3 linked regions of the Macaca mulatta genome follow. The protein of the gene in region 1 purifies or fractionates together with the protein of each later gene. This does not show direct contact. Links are inferred from orthologs where the notes say so. Each region holds a gene or a part of one and is shown on either strand. Other genes may lie near its edges.

What was found.
Region 2: the proteins of KAT2A (region 1) and TAF9B purify together in Homo sapiens (affinity purification with mass spectrometry; 4 studies listed by BioGRID, with this or other methods). This does not show direct contact. The link is inferred for Macaca mulatta from reciprocal best matches to the Homo sapiens genes KAT2A and TAF9B.
Region 3: the proteins of KAT2A (region 1) and TRIM22 purify together in Homo sapiens (affinity purification with western blotting; 3 studies listed by BioGRID). This does not show direct contact. The link is inferred for Macaca mulatta from reciprocal best matches to the Homo sapiens genes KAT2A and TRIM22.

What each region holds. Positions count from the first base shown.
Region 1 is NC_133421.1:66,453,821-66,457,572, forward strand, and holds part of KAT2A (histone acetyltransferase KAT2A), read right to left. Parts: intron 3,597-3,752; coding exon 3,490-3,596; intron 3,125-3,489; coding exon 3,014-3,124; intron 2,921-3,013; coding exon 2,784-2,920; intron 2,703-2,783; coding exon 2,494-2,702; intron 2,268-2,493; coding exon 2,141-2,267; intron 979-2,140; coding exon 868-978; intron 1-867. UniProt on the Homo sapiens protein: Protein lysine acyltransferase that can act as a acetyltransferase, glutaryltransferase, succinyltransferase or malonyltransferase, depending on the context.
Region 2 is NC_133426.1:84,382,216-84,386,766, reverse strand, and holds the start of TAF9B (transcription initiation factor TFIID subunit 9B), read left to right. Parts: upstream 1-1,751; 5' UTR 1,752-1,779; coding exon 1,780-1,830; intron 1,831-2,458; coding exon 2,459-2,540; intron 2,541-3,288; coding exon 3,289-3,425; intron 3,426-3,503; coding exon 3,504-3,638; intron 3,639-4,398; coding exon 4,399-4,474; intron 4,475-4,551. UniProt on the Homo sapiens protein: Essential for cell viability. TAF9 and TAF9B are involved in transcriptional activation as well as repression of distinct but overlapping sets of genes. May have a role in gene regulation associated with apoptosis.
Region 3 is NC_133419.1:69,875,185-69,879,685, reverse strand, and holds the start of TRIM22 (E3 ubiquitin-protein ligase TRIM22), read left to right. Parts: upstream 1-1,701; coding exon 1,702-2,124; intron 2,125-2,713; coding exon 2,714-2,809; intron 2,810-3,773; coding exon 3,774-4,004; intron 4,005-4,501. UniProt on the Homo sapiens protein: Interferon-induced E3 ubiquitin ligase that plays important roles in innate and adaptive immunity.

The sequences.
Region 1 (3,752 bases):
CCAGTTCCTCCGGCCTGCTCTACTGGCCCCCCAGTTCCTCCGGCCTGCTCTACTGGCCCCCCAGTTCCTCCGGCCTGCTCTACTGGCCCCCCAGTTCCTCCGGCCTGCTCTACTGGCCCCCCAGTTCCTCCAGCCTGCTCTGACTCCCCAGTTCCTCTGGCCTTCTCTACTGGCCCCCCAGTTCCTCCAGCCTGCTCTACTGGCCCCCCCAGTTCCTCCAGCCTGCTCTGGCTCCCCAGTTCCTCTGGCCTTCTCTACTGGCCCCCCAGTTCCTCCAGGCTGCTCTACTGGCCCCCCAGTTCCTCCAGCCTGCTCTACTGGCCCCCCCAGTTCCTCCGGCCTTCTCTACTGGCCCCCCAGTTCCTCCAGGCTGCTCTACTGGCCCCCCAGTTCCTCCAGGCTGCTCTACTGGCCCCCCAGTTCCTCCAGGCTGCTCTACTGGCCCCCCAGTTCCTCCGGCCTGCTCTACCAGCCCCCCAGTTCCAGCCTGCTCTACTGGCCCCCCAGTTCCTCCAGCCTGCTCTACTGGCCCCCCAGTTCCTCCAGCCTGCTCTACTGGCCCCCAGTTCCTCCGGCCTTCTCTACTGGTCCCCCAGTTCCTCCAGGCTGCTCTACTGGCCCCCCAATTCCTCCAGCCTGCTCTACTGGCCCCCCAGTTCCTCCAGCCTGCTCTACTGGCCCCATAGGCCCCCATTCTCCCCTGGGGCAGTGGCAGCAGAGGAAAGAAGATAGGCATGGAGACTTTCCTGGCAGGTGTCAGGTGAAGTAGGGGACATAAAGGGACTCCTACTCCATCCACAGAGGGGCTGGACAGAATGACCCCAGGCTTCAGGCAAAGGACCAGTGTGGGATAAGGCTACGGGTCACCTGCTTTTTGAAGTAGCCGATGGCATACTCGTCCGCGTAGGTGAGGAAGTAGAGAATGTTGTGCTTGATATGATACTCCTTCAGGTGGTTCATCAGGTGGGTCCCATAACCCTGTGGGGGAGGGGAGCAGGACTCACCAGGAGCTGAGGATGGGCCTGGTGCTGGAGAGGTCTCAGAGCCCAGAGTGGAGCGGGTGGATTGGAAAGGAGGTGGGGAGAGGGAGAGCATCCAGGCAAAGAGGAAGAAAGGCAGCTGACAGAGGGAGGGGAGTTTATGGGGGAAAGTGAAAGGTAGAGGCTTTCTAAGCTCACTCTGGGCCAGGTGCAGTGCTTCCTGTTTTACAGACCGATTCTCAACCCCAGAGGCGAGTAGTACCACCTCTATTTTAGAAAAGAGAAAACTGAAACAGCTATGTTAGGAAATGCGTTCAAGGTCAGGCTGCCAGCCGTGGCAGGGCCGGGTCCAAACCCAACACAGGCCAGCAATTCCCAGTCCCTGGGCCTCAGAGTTGGGAGAGGAGGGAGAGGGAGTCACCAGAGGCCTGAGCAGGAGCAATGGCTCCCACACATCAGGGCCAACGATGCGCCACGCAGATCTGAGGTATGTGACACACAGAGCCAGCGACCCTACGAGGGGGTCTGTTGTAACAAAGGACAGAAGCCAAGGCTATCAGCATAGGACTACTGTAATAACGGTTAGTTCGGCTGGTCACCGTGGCTCACACCTGTAATCCCAGCACTTTGGGAGGCCGAGGCAGGTGAATCACTTGAGGTCAGGAGTTGGAGACTAGCCTGGGCAACATGGTAAAACCCTGTCTCTGCTAAAACACAAAAGTTAGCCAGATGTAATGGCGCATGCCTGTAGTCCCAGCTACTTGGGAAGCCAAGGCACGAGAATCACTTGAGCCTGGGAGGTCAAGGCTGCAGTGAGTCCTGATCATGCCTCTGCACTCCGGCCTGGCTGAGAGAGACCCTGTTTCAAAAAATAAATAAAAAATAAAAATTAAAGTAATTAATTCCCCCATGTATGTAAATGTTCTTGTGATGAAGAAAATCCTAGTCCACAGGTCACCAAAGCGTGGCCGCTTCTTGGGCTCTGTCTGTGAACAGGTGGTTTCCTAATCCACAGTTATCAAAGTACGGCTGCCACCTTGTGGGGATGTGAGGAACGGGCCACTAAGAGAAGAGCCAGGGGCTGCTGCATCCCACACCTCCCGCTGCTCCGAGCTGGCCCAAACTCCGGAGCGAGCCGTGGGCTGGGGAGCGGCACTCACCTTGACCTGCTCATTCGAGGTGACAGCACAGAAGACAATCTCCGTGAAGCCCTGGGTGGGAAACATGCGGAAGCAGATGCCACCGATGACCCGCCCATCCTTGATCAAGGCCAGAGTCTTGTGCTTCCTAAGAGAGAGGTGGGCACGTCACAGCCCCTGCCTGTTTCCTTCAGGTCCCCAGAGCCCTGGAAGTCTGAACTGTAGTCAGGGTTGGGCAGTGAGAAATAAGAATGATCAAAGGTTGAACTTCAGAAGTGGGGAGCAGGGGATCTCCAATTTTGAGGAGTCAAGAGGCCGAGGAGGAAGGGACCCGGGGGTCCTGCCCTGGGGGAGGGGCTCTCTGGGGGACGCACGGGTCAAAGACGAGGCGGGCGATATACTCCTTAGGCATGCGTGGCAGCTGGTGGGAAAAGACATTCTGCAGCCCCACGAGCCACAGCAACACCCGCCGGTTGGCCTTGGGCGTCAGCGAGTTGCCAATGACGTGGAACTCAATGATGCCACGGCGCTCCTCCAGGCGGGCTGTCTCATCCCGGGCCGCATTGGCCGAAAGCAGGCTCGTCTGGGCACAGAAGAGGGGCGGTGAGCTGGGGTTTCAGGTTGGTGGGGGTCCCCCAACTGGTCAGCAGGTCGGGCTGCCCACCTCAGGCCCCAGCATGGCAGCAGGGTCAGTGATGGTCAGCATGACCTCATTGACTAGCTCCATGGGGATGTCGCCCATCACACGGAGCCTCTTGGCATCCTCCAGGGTCAGGTTCTCCGGGAGCTTCCTCTTCTCGCCTATTGGGGAGGCAGGCAAGGTTGGTCAGGATCAGTAAAAAAAGGTTTGGGAAGGAGTGAATGATGGTCAGAGGTCAGGGATCAAGTATCTACCTGGCATAGGCTCGGCCCCTGCAGAATCCAGACTCAGAGAGCTGTTGCTGCCTCCGCCCATGCTGGGGCTGAAGATGGGGGTGCTGGGAACAACTGCTGCACTGACCGAAGCTGAGGAGAGAGAGAGAGAGGTCAGGGACCGGGGGACTGAAGCTGAGACAGAGAGAGAGAGAAGTCAGGGACCGGGGGACTGAAGCTAAGGGGAGAGAGAGAGAGGTCAGGGACAAGGGGACTGAAGCTGAGGAGAGAGAGAGAGAAGTCAGGGACGGGGGGACTGAAGCTGAGGAGAGAGAGGGAGAGAAGTCAGGGACAAGGGAGACAGAGAGAGAGAGAAGTCAGGGACGGGAGGGCTGAAGCTGGTGGCAGGTCCCTCAGTGGGATCCAGGGCCTCTGGCCCAGCTGAGCCCTCTTCCACCCAGGAGGCTTAGCTCAGCCAGGCAGGCCAGACACCCTACAGAGCATACCATGGCACATACCTGGCCGGGGCACCAGCTGTGTCCCCTCTGAGGGTGGCATGGTGAAGCCTGACTCCCAGATTGGAGAGTTTGCCCCATAGATCTCCTCCTCCAGCATGGACAGGAATCTGTAGGGAGGACACAGTCTGTCCCACAACTCTGTTCTCCAAGGGTGCAGCCTGGGCCAGGCGGCAGAGGGACTGGAGGCTGGTCAGAGCAGACCCTGCTCTTAGGGAACTGGGGACCTGAAAGAGGGGACAGCCCCTGTCTTCTGGGAGCCTCCA
Region 2 (4,551 bases), on another chromosome or scaffold:
GCAACCTCCACCTCCTGGGTTCCAGCTATTCTCCTGCCTCAGCCTCCTGAGTAGCTGAGACTATAGGCTTGTGCCGCCACGCCCGGCTAAATGTTGTATTTTTAGCAGAGACAGGATTTCACCACGTTGGCCAGGCCGATCTTAAACTCCTGACGTTAAGTGATCCGCCCGCCTCGGCCTCCCAAAGCGCTGGCATTACAGGCGTGAGCCACCGTGCCTGGCCTCCACCTATTTTTAAATGTACCTTGCAAATATTCAAAAGCAAGCGACTGTTGTTAGTTCTGCAGAGGGGTTGGCCACAGTAAGAGTGGGGAAAGGCACTAGCTCAGCGTGGGGGCACGTGCTCTCACTCGAAACAATGTATTGAGAACACTTGGTTCTTGGGGGTTCCTGCCCAAACTTCAAGATGGCGGCCAGGCGGACGGCTGATTCTGATGAGTCTGATGAGGTGAGCTGCTCCGCAAAACTGAAGGGCCCACTAAGACTGGGAAATTAGTATGTATTTGTGTATGTGTTTGTGAGGAGAGCCGCTGGAGGGTTTTAAGGAAAACAGTGATTGGATTTATGACCGAAAGGTCCGTCTAGCTGTGTAAGGAATGTCGGGGGACACTATTTGGGGAGCATGTATCTGTAATCTTGGTGAGTAAGGATGTTGGCTTGGACTCGTTAGCATAGTAGCACTGGATGGAGATGTGGAGACATGGATAGAACTTTGGGAGGTCACCTGGACAACACTTGTTGCTAGATTGAATGTGGATTGTGAGGGAAAGCACCAACATGGCTGCCTGCTCCGTTTCTGGCCTGGGTGAGTTCCTGTTCCCGAGATGGAGAATCCTAGGGCGTTGGTTTTTGTGTAGGTTAAGAGTAAGTTATCTGCGACATTTTAAGCCAGAGATAGTTAACTGATGCACTTTTTTTTAAAGTCACTGGGGCTAGATGGTCGGTTCTCACGAGAGTCCTTCGGGCAGTTCTGTGGGGAGGGGCTGGGAAGGGTGTAAACTGGGAGGCAAGGAAGGGTCCTGTGTTGGCCTCAGCGGGGAGACAGTAAGCTGCTCGGGGCCAAGAGTGGCTAGAGGGTCTCTAACGGGCAGAGTGAAGGCTTTAGTTTTTCATCAGTGTGAAATGGGCAGCCACGGTAGGGCTTTGAGTGTGACAAGGGCTAACGAAAATCCTGTGTGGACAGCAAGCTATTGGGTAGGATTGCCAGATTTAGCTAATAAAAATCCGGGACACCCGGTTAAATATGAACATCAGAACAATTATTTCGTAGCATAAGTATGGCCTGTGCAAATCTGGGATATACTTATACTAAAAATGTATTCGTTGGTGATGTGACATTCAAATGTAACGAGTCCAACTGTGTTGGACCAAGCAGCCCTAACATTGACTGGGTCTGGAATTTCGGGAAGCCGAAAGGGGCTAAGGTGGTAGCCATGGAGGTGTGAGGAGGGACCCCCGCAAAGGTGAGGTTGGCCCATTTGGTGCCCTTTGCCGGAGAACAACTCTGGGGAGTCGAGCTTCTCGGCTCCTCTACTTCTTTTAGCCCCCAGCAGGCTCCACGGGGAAGGATTACCTGCTTCTTCCAATCCTGAGTTCCGGCGCCCGAGCGCGTCTCTTCCCCTGGCCAGCGTCTTGCTGAAACTCCCGCCCCCCGCGGCTGGCACGTAACCCCGCCTTCCGCTTCCCTCCTCCCTCTCCCCGCAGGGGTGGAGCCTGAGCGAGGAGCCCGCGAGCTCCTCTCTCTCTCCTCTGTCCTCCGATGACGAGTGGCTGGATAATATGGAGTCGGGCAAGATGGCGCCTCCCAAGAACGCTCCGAGAGATGCCTTGGTAAGTGGGAAGGATGAGCGGCGGAGCGCGAAGCCAGGTGCAGCCAGGGACCTGCGAGGCAGGGCCACGCTGAGGGCCTGAGGGAGGGCTCGCACGCTCGTTTCAGTCTGGTCAGGGTCGTCAGGAGGAGAGGGTGATGGGGATGCCCCCGGGCCCCTATCTCGCCGCTCGGGCCAAGCTCTGCCAGAGGGTCGTGGTCCAGCGGAGCTTGCGGAACGGCTGCCCAGCTTTGTGTCCTGGGCTTCGGGCCCCTGCCGCCCCCTCGTCTCTACCTATCTGCCAGCCCTGACTCTGCGTCCAGGGTTCTGATGCTAGCTTATCCCGCCGCCACAGCCAAAAATGACAACCAGCTGGACCTATCCCTACCTCTGCTGGGGAAGCCAACTTGTCTTCTCTTTGCCCCCCACCCCGCCCCCAACCCCGCCAAAAAATAAAAATAAAAGTTTTCTGCAAAAGCATACTATGCGATTTGGTGTGATCACTGACTCACTTGGGAGGACAAGGGTGAGTAGGACTTTGGAGCCCAAAGAAGGGGAACCTTGTATCATAAATATAAATACTACCCTTCTGTCCAGCCTTAATTTCCAGTACCAAATTCTGCATCTGGCGTTTTTATTTGAATCCACAGGTGATGGCACAGATCCTGAAGGATATGGGAATCACAGAGTATGAACCAAGGGTTATAAATCAAATGTTGGAATTTGCTTTCCGTAAGTTAATGAAACACCAAAAACTTGCCTAACTTGTGAACTAGAAAAGATATTTTTATTGTAAGAACATTTTCTTTTCTTTTCTTTTTTGAGACAGGGACTCACTGTTGCCCAGGCTGGAGGGCAGTGGCGGGATCTCGGCTCACTGCAGCCTCCGCCTCCTGGGTTCAAGCGATTCTCATGCCTCAACCTCCTGAGCTGGGACTACAGGCACTTGCCACCATGCCCGGCTAAGTTTTGTATTTTCAGTAGAAAGGGAGTTTCGCCATATTGCCCAGGCAGGCCTCGAACTACTGACTCAAGTGATCCGCCCATCTCGGCCTCCCAAAGTGCTGGGATTACAGGCGTAAGCCACCGCGCCCAGCCTTGTAAGAACATTTTCAACCAAATTATGTTAACAGTATCGTAGAATTCAGCCTAAAGAGCTAAAAAGGAGTTCATGCTAGGGGACAGTAGTATTCATACTGTGATATCTGTTTAAAACTGATCATATAGACAGGACAATTACCTATTAAAATCAGCATTTAGGCTGGACACAGTAGCTTACACCTGTAATCTCAGCACTTCGGGAGGCTGAGGCGGGAGGCCAGGAGTTTGAGTTATGCCTGGGCAACATAGTGAGACCCTGTCTCTACAAAAAACCACAAAATTTATAAACTGTCTACAAATTAGTGGAAACTTTTTTTAAGTAGCCATAAATATTAAGCTGTCTTCATATGTTTAAGAAAAGATTGTTTTTTTCTTAAAGGTTATGTGACTACAATTCTGGATGATGCAAAAATTTATTCGAGCCATGCTAAGAAACCTAACGTTGATGCAGATGATGTGAGACTGGCAATCCAGTGTCGTGCTGACCAATCTTTTACCTCTCCTCCCCCAAGAGATGTGAGCAAACTTGGATTTGAAGTTATTTTTACTTAAAATTTTTTAAACTGTAGTTCTAATAAGGATTTTTTTTTTAAGTTTTTACTGGATATCGCAAGGCAGAAAAATCAAACCCCTTTGCCACTGATTAAGCCATATGCAGGACCTAGACTGCCACCTGATAGATACTGCTTAACAGCTCCAAACTATAGGCTGAAGTCCTTAATTAAAAAGGTAAGAAATTTTAGTCAACTTTTCTTTTTTTAAAAGGTGGAATATGATAGGGGACTTTGTGAAAAGCAAATTCCTGTAGCTAGTATAGTAGATTAAAGGTTAAGATAACTTACTAGAATTTTTTTAATTTTAAAAATTTTTTGAGCTAGATGGACCTTTAGTGCTCATTTAATTCAACAGTCATTTTTCACATCAGGAAGCGGGGCCTGAACTCATTTGTGAAGTTGGTAGCCAAGCTAGGACTGATTCCAAACCTCGTAACTCCCAATCTTTCCACTATATCTTAGTTTTTTAGTGAGGCCTAATAACAGAGGGAATGATACCATCAGGAATTGGGCCAGCTTTCTGAAATATGACCTAAAGCTCTCCCACCACTGAAACAGTTCTCCCTATAATAGGCTGCCTTTTTTTTCTGAAGTTCCACTATAAGAGTTTTATTCTTTTTTGGGTTAAGAAATTGACTAGTTAAGATTACAAATCACAAAGTAGTTAGCTGTTATCCCCATTCAAATAAGACTCTATCTTAAACTTTAATACTGCATAAGATTATATATGTATTCATATCTATTTTTATATAAAGACATGTATATATGTTTATGCAAAACCCAGATTAAATGTTGGATTTAGAACACTGAGAGAACAAAAACAGGACTTTCTTGCCATGGATTATCCATGATCATTTACATCAGCAATCCTAATTTCATTCCTGGTAAAGTTAGGTGTCACATCTTAACATTAATTTGCTTTTTAAATCCCCTAGGGACCTAACCAAGGGAGACTAGTTCCACGATTAAGTGTTGGTGCTGTTAGTAGCAAACCTACTACTCCTACTATAGGTAAGTGAGAGGAGACAATGGCATTTCTGGCTGGTAAAGCAGTGCCTCAGCACTTGGTTTTGAACTATAATGCAAGT
Region 3 (4,501 bases), on another chromosome or scaffold:
TCTGTTTAAATCTGTGCAGTAGTGGAGAGAACTCTGAAGGAGGACCTTGGAGACAATACATTCACTCTTACTCTACCGATTAGATTAGAATGAGTGATCTTTGTAAGTTACTTAATTCTATTGACACACCTGAAGAAAGGGAGTATTCTTCTTTCTCAAGGGTTTTGTATGAAGAATAAAGAAGTCAAAATTATTTCCAAATTGTAACTGGTTATAAAATTCTTCATGATAAAATTATTTTCTTATTGTGATGGTGGCGGTGGTGGTGGTTGCAGTGGTGTGTGGGTGTGTGTGTATGTCTTTGGGGAGTGAGTGTGAGGTCATGGGAGGACTTGCTATGGGTAGATGTGTTAGGATGTGAACTCTTCTTCACTGGAAACCATAATCATGGTCCCAAAGCTCAGCTATTGGGAAACTGCTAATTGATGGAAAGAAAAGATGAAAATCTGATTCAAAGGTCTAATCATCTATGGAGGGATAAGAAAGTTGTAGCTTTAAATATTCGTTCAACATTTTATTCCTGTATGTGATTCGCTCTTCTATGTATAGAGGACATATCAGTGAACAAAAACAGTCCCATGTCTATGAATGGATTACTTTTCAGGAGGAAGAAGTAGACATTTAAAGAACAATCTTATATATTACATAGTAAAAATAAGAAAATAAATGTGCAGTGAGTGATATTACTGGTGGTTTTGCTATAAGTAAGTTATAGTATGTCCTTCTAAGAAGAGGACATCTAAGAGATTGAATTAAATTTAAGAATGACTCTTGCTAACATCAGGGGAAGGATCATTTTATGGAGAGAGAGGAGCAAGTGCAAAAGCCTTGAGGAGTCATAGATTTGATAGTTTAATTGAGGAGGTGTTTTTTACATGTGGAAAAAGCAGAGGAGATAAACCTTAACAGTATAAATAAAATAATTCAGATACCAAAGACCATATATTATGATTCTATTTTTATCAATTGATTAAAAACCCAAAGGATATTAGTGATTGTCTGGAGCTTGGGATCAGAATAGGAGTAACGGCATTAGGGTTTTTTTTTTTTTTTTTCAGGTGGTAAAAATAATTTTAAATTGTGTTACAGTAACAGTCATATAGTTCCACAAATTTAGTAGAAATTATCACATTATACACTTAAAAATGAGAGTGTATGATGCTATGTAAATACAACTCAGTAGCTTAAAAATACACAAGTATTAGTGAATCATGCAAATATTAGAGATACAATCACGTCATCCAGAGAGAAAAGCATGTGCGAAAGCCCAGGGGCAGCGGTGTGCTTAGTGCATTTAACATGGAAAATGTGTTTTGGGTTGGGGAACAAAAGGCAGGATAAATGATGGGTTACACGAACCTCTTGGTAGAAAAGCTTCAGTTTGTCCTCTCCAGTAGAAGAGAAAATAACAATAATTGCCTTGATGGGGTGAAATTTGTCCTGAGACAAAAATTAAGAATAAACTGTTTCAAATTACTACAAAGTCCATTTTATTCTGTCATTGGTTTATTCTTCTTGCCTTTCTTTTCTCCTTTCTCTGTTAAATATTAATTTTTGGTCCTGTTCTAAATCTCTGTAAAAGCAGTATTCTTTCTATTCCCGCTTTTCTTACCATGTCCCCTTCAACATTTCCAGCACTGCAGGATTTTCTGACCAAGAGGTTCAAGAGTCAAGACAGAAAGAAGCCAAGGGAGCAGTGCAATGGATTTCTCAGTAAAGGTAGACATAGAGAAGGAGGTGACCTGCCCCATCTGCCTGGAGCTCCTAACAGAACCTCTGAGCCTGGATTGTGGCCACAGCTTCTGCCAAGCCTGCATCACTGCAAAGATCAAGGAGTCAGTGACCATCTCAAGAGGAGAAAGCAGCTGTCCTGTGTGTCAGAGCAGATTCCAGCCTGGGAAGCTCCGACCTAATCGGCATCTGGCCAACATAGTTGAGAGAGTCAAGGAGGTCAAGATGAGCCCACAGGAGGGGCAGAAGAGAGACATCTGTGAGCACCATGGAAAAAAACTCCAGATCTTCTGTAAGGAAGATGGAAAAGTCATTTGCTGGGTTTGTGAACTGTCTCAGGAACACCAAGGTCACCAAACATTCCGCATAAACGAGGTGGTCAAGGAATGTCAGGTAGGCTCCAAGGTAGAGGAAGAGAAAGCAGAGAGCAGAAATGGTACCTGATGTGAAATCTCCACGTTTTTTGTCCTGCTTTATTCCCCTTTTCACCATAGAACTGAGAGCCCTGTGATCTCTTTCCAAACTCTTTACTTAGTTTCTGAAGCCTGAAGGACAGTGCTGCACATTGCTTTTATTTAAAAGAGTACATTTTTTAGCAAGGAAAAGTTGAATGAATGGAGAATTGCTTTGTAAGATAAGCTTTAATTGCCACTCCGAGAAGAAAGGTGTTTTTGAGAACATGTCTTGTTAGATGTGGCAAAAGTGGCAATGAAAGGAAGTCTTTCCTTAATGCAGGGTCTGCTTTTTCTCTAGGAAAAGAATCAGGCTACTCTTGATAAGGGGATGGTAACTTCCATCATCCAGTAATAAAGAATACGTTCATCTCCTCAGATTTTCCCCCATGCCATAGGTTCTAATCACCAGCCTCACTGTTTCTGTAAACTAGTCCCTTCTGAGAGCCATCCAATTTCTTCCTTGCTATCCTCTATCCAGGTGCTGAGAAAACTCATAACTTTACTCTGGTATAATTTCTTTCTCACAGGAAAAGCTGCAGGCAGCCCTGCAGAAGCTGACAAAGGAGGATCAAGAAGCTGAGAAGCTGGAAGATGACGTCAGACAAGAGAGAACCGTCTGGAAGGCAGGAGGAGACACCTCCTAAGGGATAATTAGACAGGAATCTGGGCAGGACCTTGGGCTCTATCACAAGGAGACCACTTCCCCTTTGCTGTGCTAGAATTAACAGTTATAGAAGTCATATGATTAGGTCTCATTTAATTCCTTCCCTGTTGGAGTTTGGGGGCTGGAGAGCAGACATATCATAAATCAACACAATATTTGGAAGTGAAGGCATGGAGGGAAATACCTGTGAAAATGCTTCCTGTGAATCCTGTGTTCCATTTGTGTCATCAAGTTTGAGGCTCCAATCCTTCCAGTAAACAACCTGAGGAAAGACCCAGGATTCCCTGTTTAGGTGGTTTGGGTAGGGGAATTTTTTTTTTTTTTTTTTTAGACAAGAGTCTCGATTTGTCATCTAGGCTGGAGTGCAGTGGAGTGATCTCGGCTCACTGCAACCTCTGCCTTCCCAGGTCAAGCGATTCTCCTGCCTCAGCCTCCCAAGTAGCTGGGACTACAGGCACGTGCCACCATACCCGGCTAATTTTTTGTATTTTCAGTAGAGATGGGGTTTCACCATGCTAGCCAGGATGGTCTTGATCTCCTGACCTCATGATCCGCCCACCTCTGCATCCCAAAGTGCTGGGATTACAGGCGTGAACCACTGTGCCCGACCAGGTAAAGGGATTTAAGAGAGAGAAAGGCAAGGTTGTTCAGGACAGGTGTCTATAATCCAAGCCTCACCCAAGCATCACATTTTGTCTCAGATTAGGCCTCAATAAAAGACTTGAGTGTATTGCTTTGGAAGGAGTTCCGGTTAAAAAATAGAAAAGCATGGCTTCACCAGAAATTGTGTATTGGCTTTTGCCTCGTATTCCTTTTGAGAACTCCCTGAGGAAAACAGTTCTTATCCTGGCTCCCAGGCTCATACAAAGCAGGCCTTCAACCAGCCAGACTGACTGCCTCTTTCTCTTCTCTTCTCATTCAAGAATTATATCCAGCTCGAGAGACAGAAGATTCTGAAAGGGTTCAATGAAATGAGAGTCATCTTGGACAGTGAGGAGCAGAGAGAGCTGCAAAAGCTGGAGGAAGGTGAGGTGAATGTGCTGGATAACCTGGCAGCAGCTAGAGACCAGCTGGTCCAGCAGAGGCAGGATGCCAGCAAGCTCATCTCAGATCTCCAGCGGAGGTTGAGGGGGTCATCAATAGAGATGCTGCAGGTAAGACTTGGGATGGAGCACCTACATATGAGATTAGGGGAAAAACACAGAGGCTGATTTTCCTTCCCTTCCCAGTCTCTAGGCTTTCTTCTGTGTGGTGACATTAAATGGTTCCTTTGGCCTGGCAGTGCCCCTTTTATGCCCATCATTTCAGGAGTCACAGAGATAATTAAGTGTATGAGTGGCAAAGGAAATTCCCTTTATTATTTACTTATGAGAGGCAGTGTAAAAATTTGAGCTTGGAGAGAAGATTCTTTGTACCATGAGCAAATTCGTTTTAGAACTTCCCCATCACATCAAAAACATTTCTCATGCCTGTTTACAGTCAATATCTGCTTCTACCTCCACCTCCTGGCAACCAATCTGTTTTCTGTCTGTATAGAATTGGCTTCTCTGGACATTTCAATATGAACTGAATTATACAACATGTAGTCTTTTGCATCTGGCATCTTTAATTTAGCATAATATTTTGAGGTTTATTTATATTGCAGTATGTA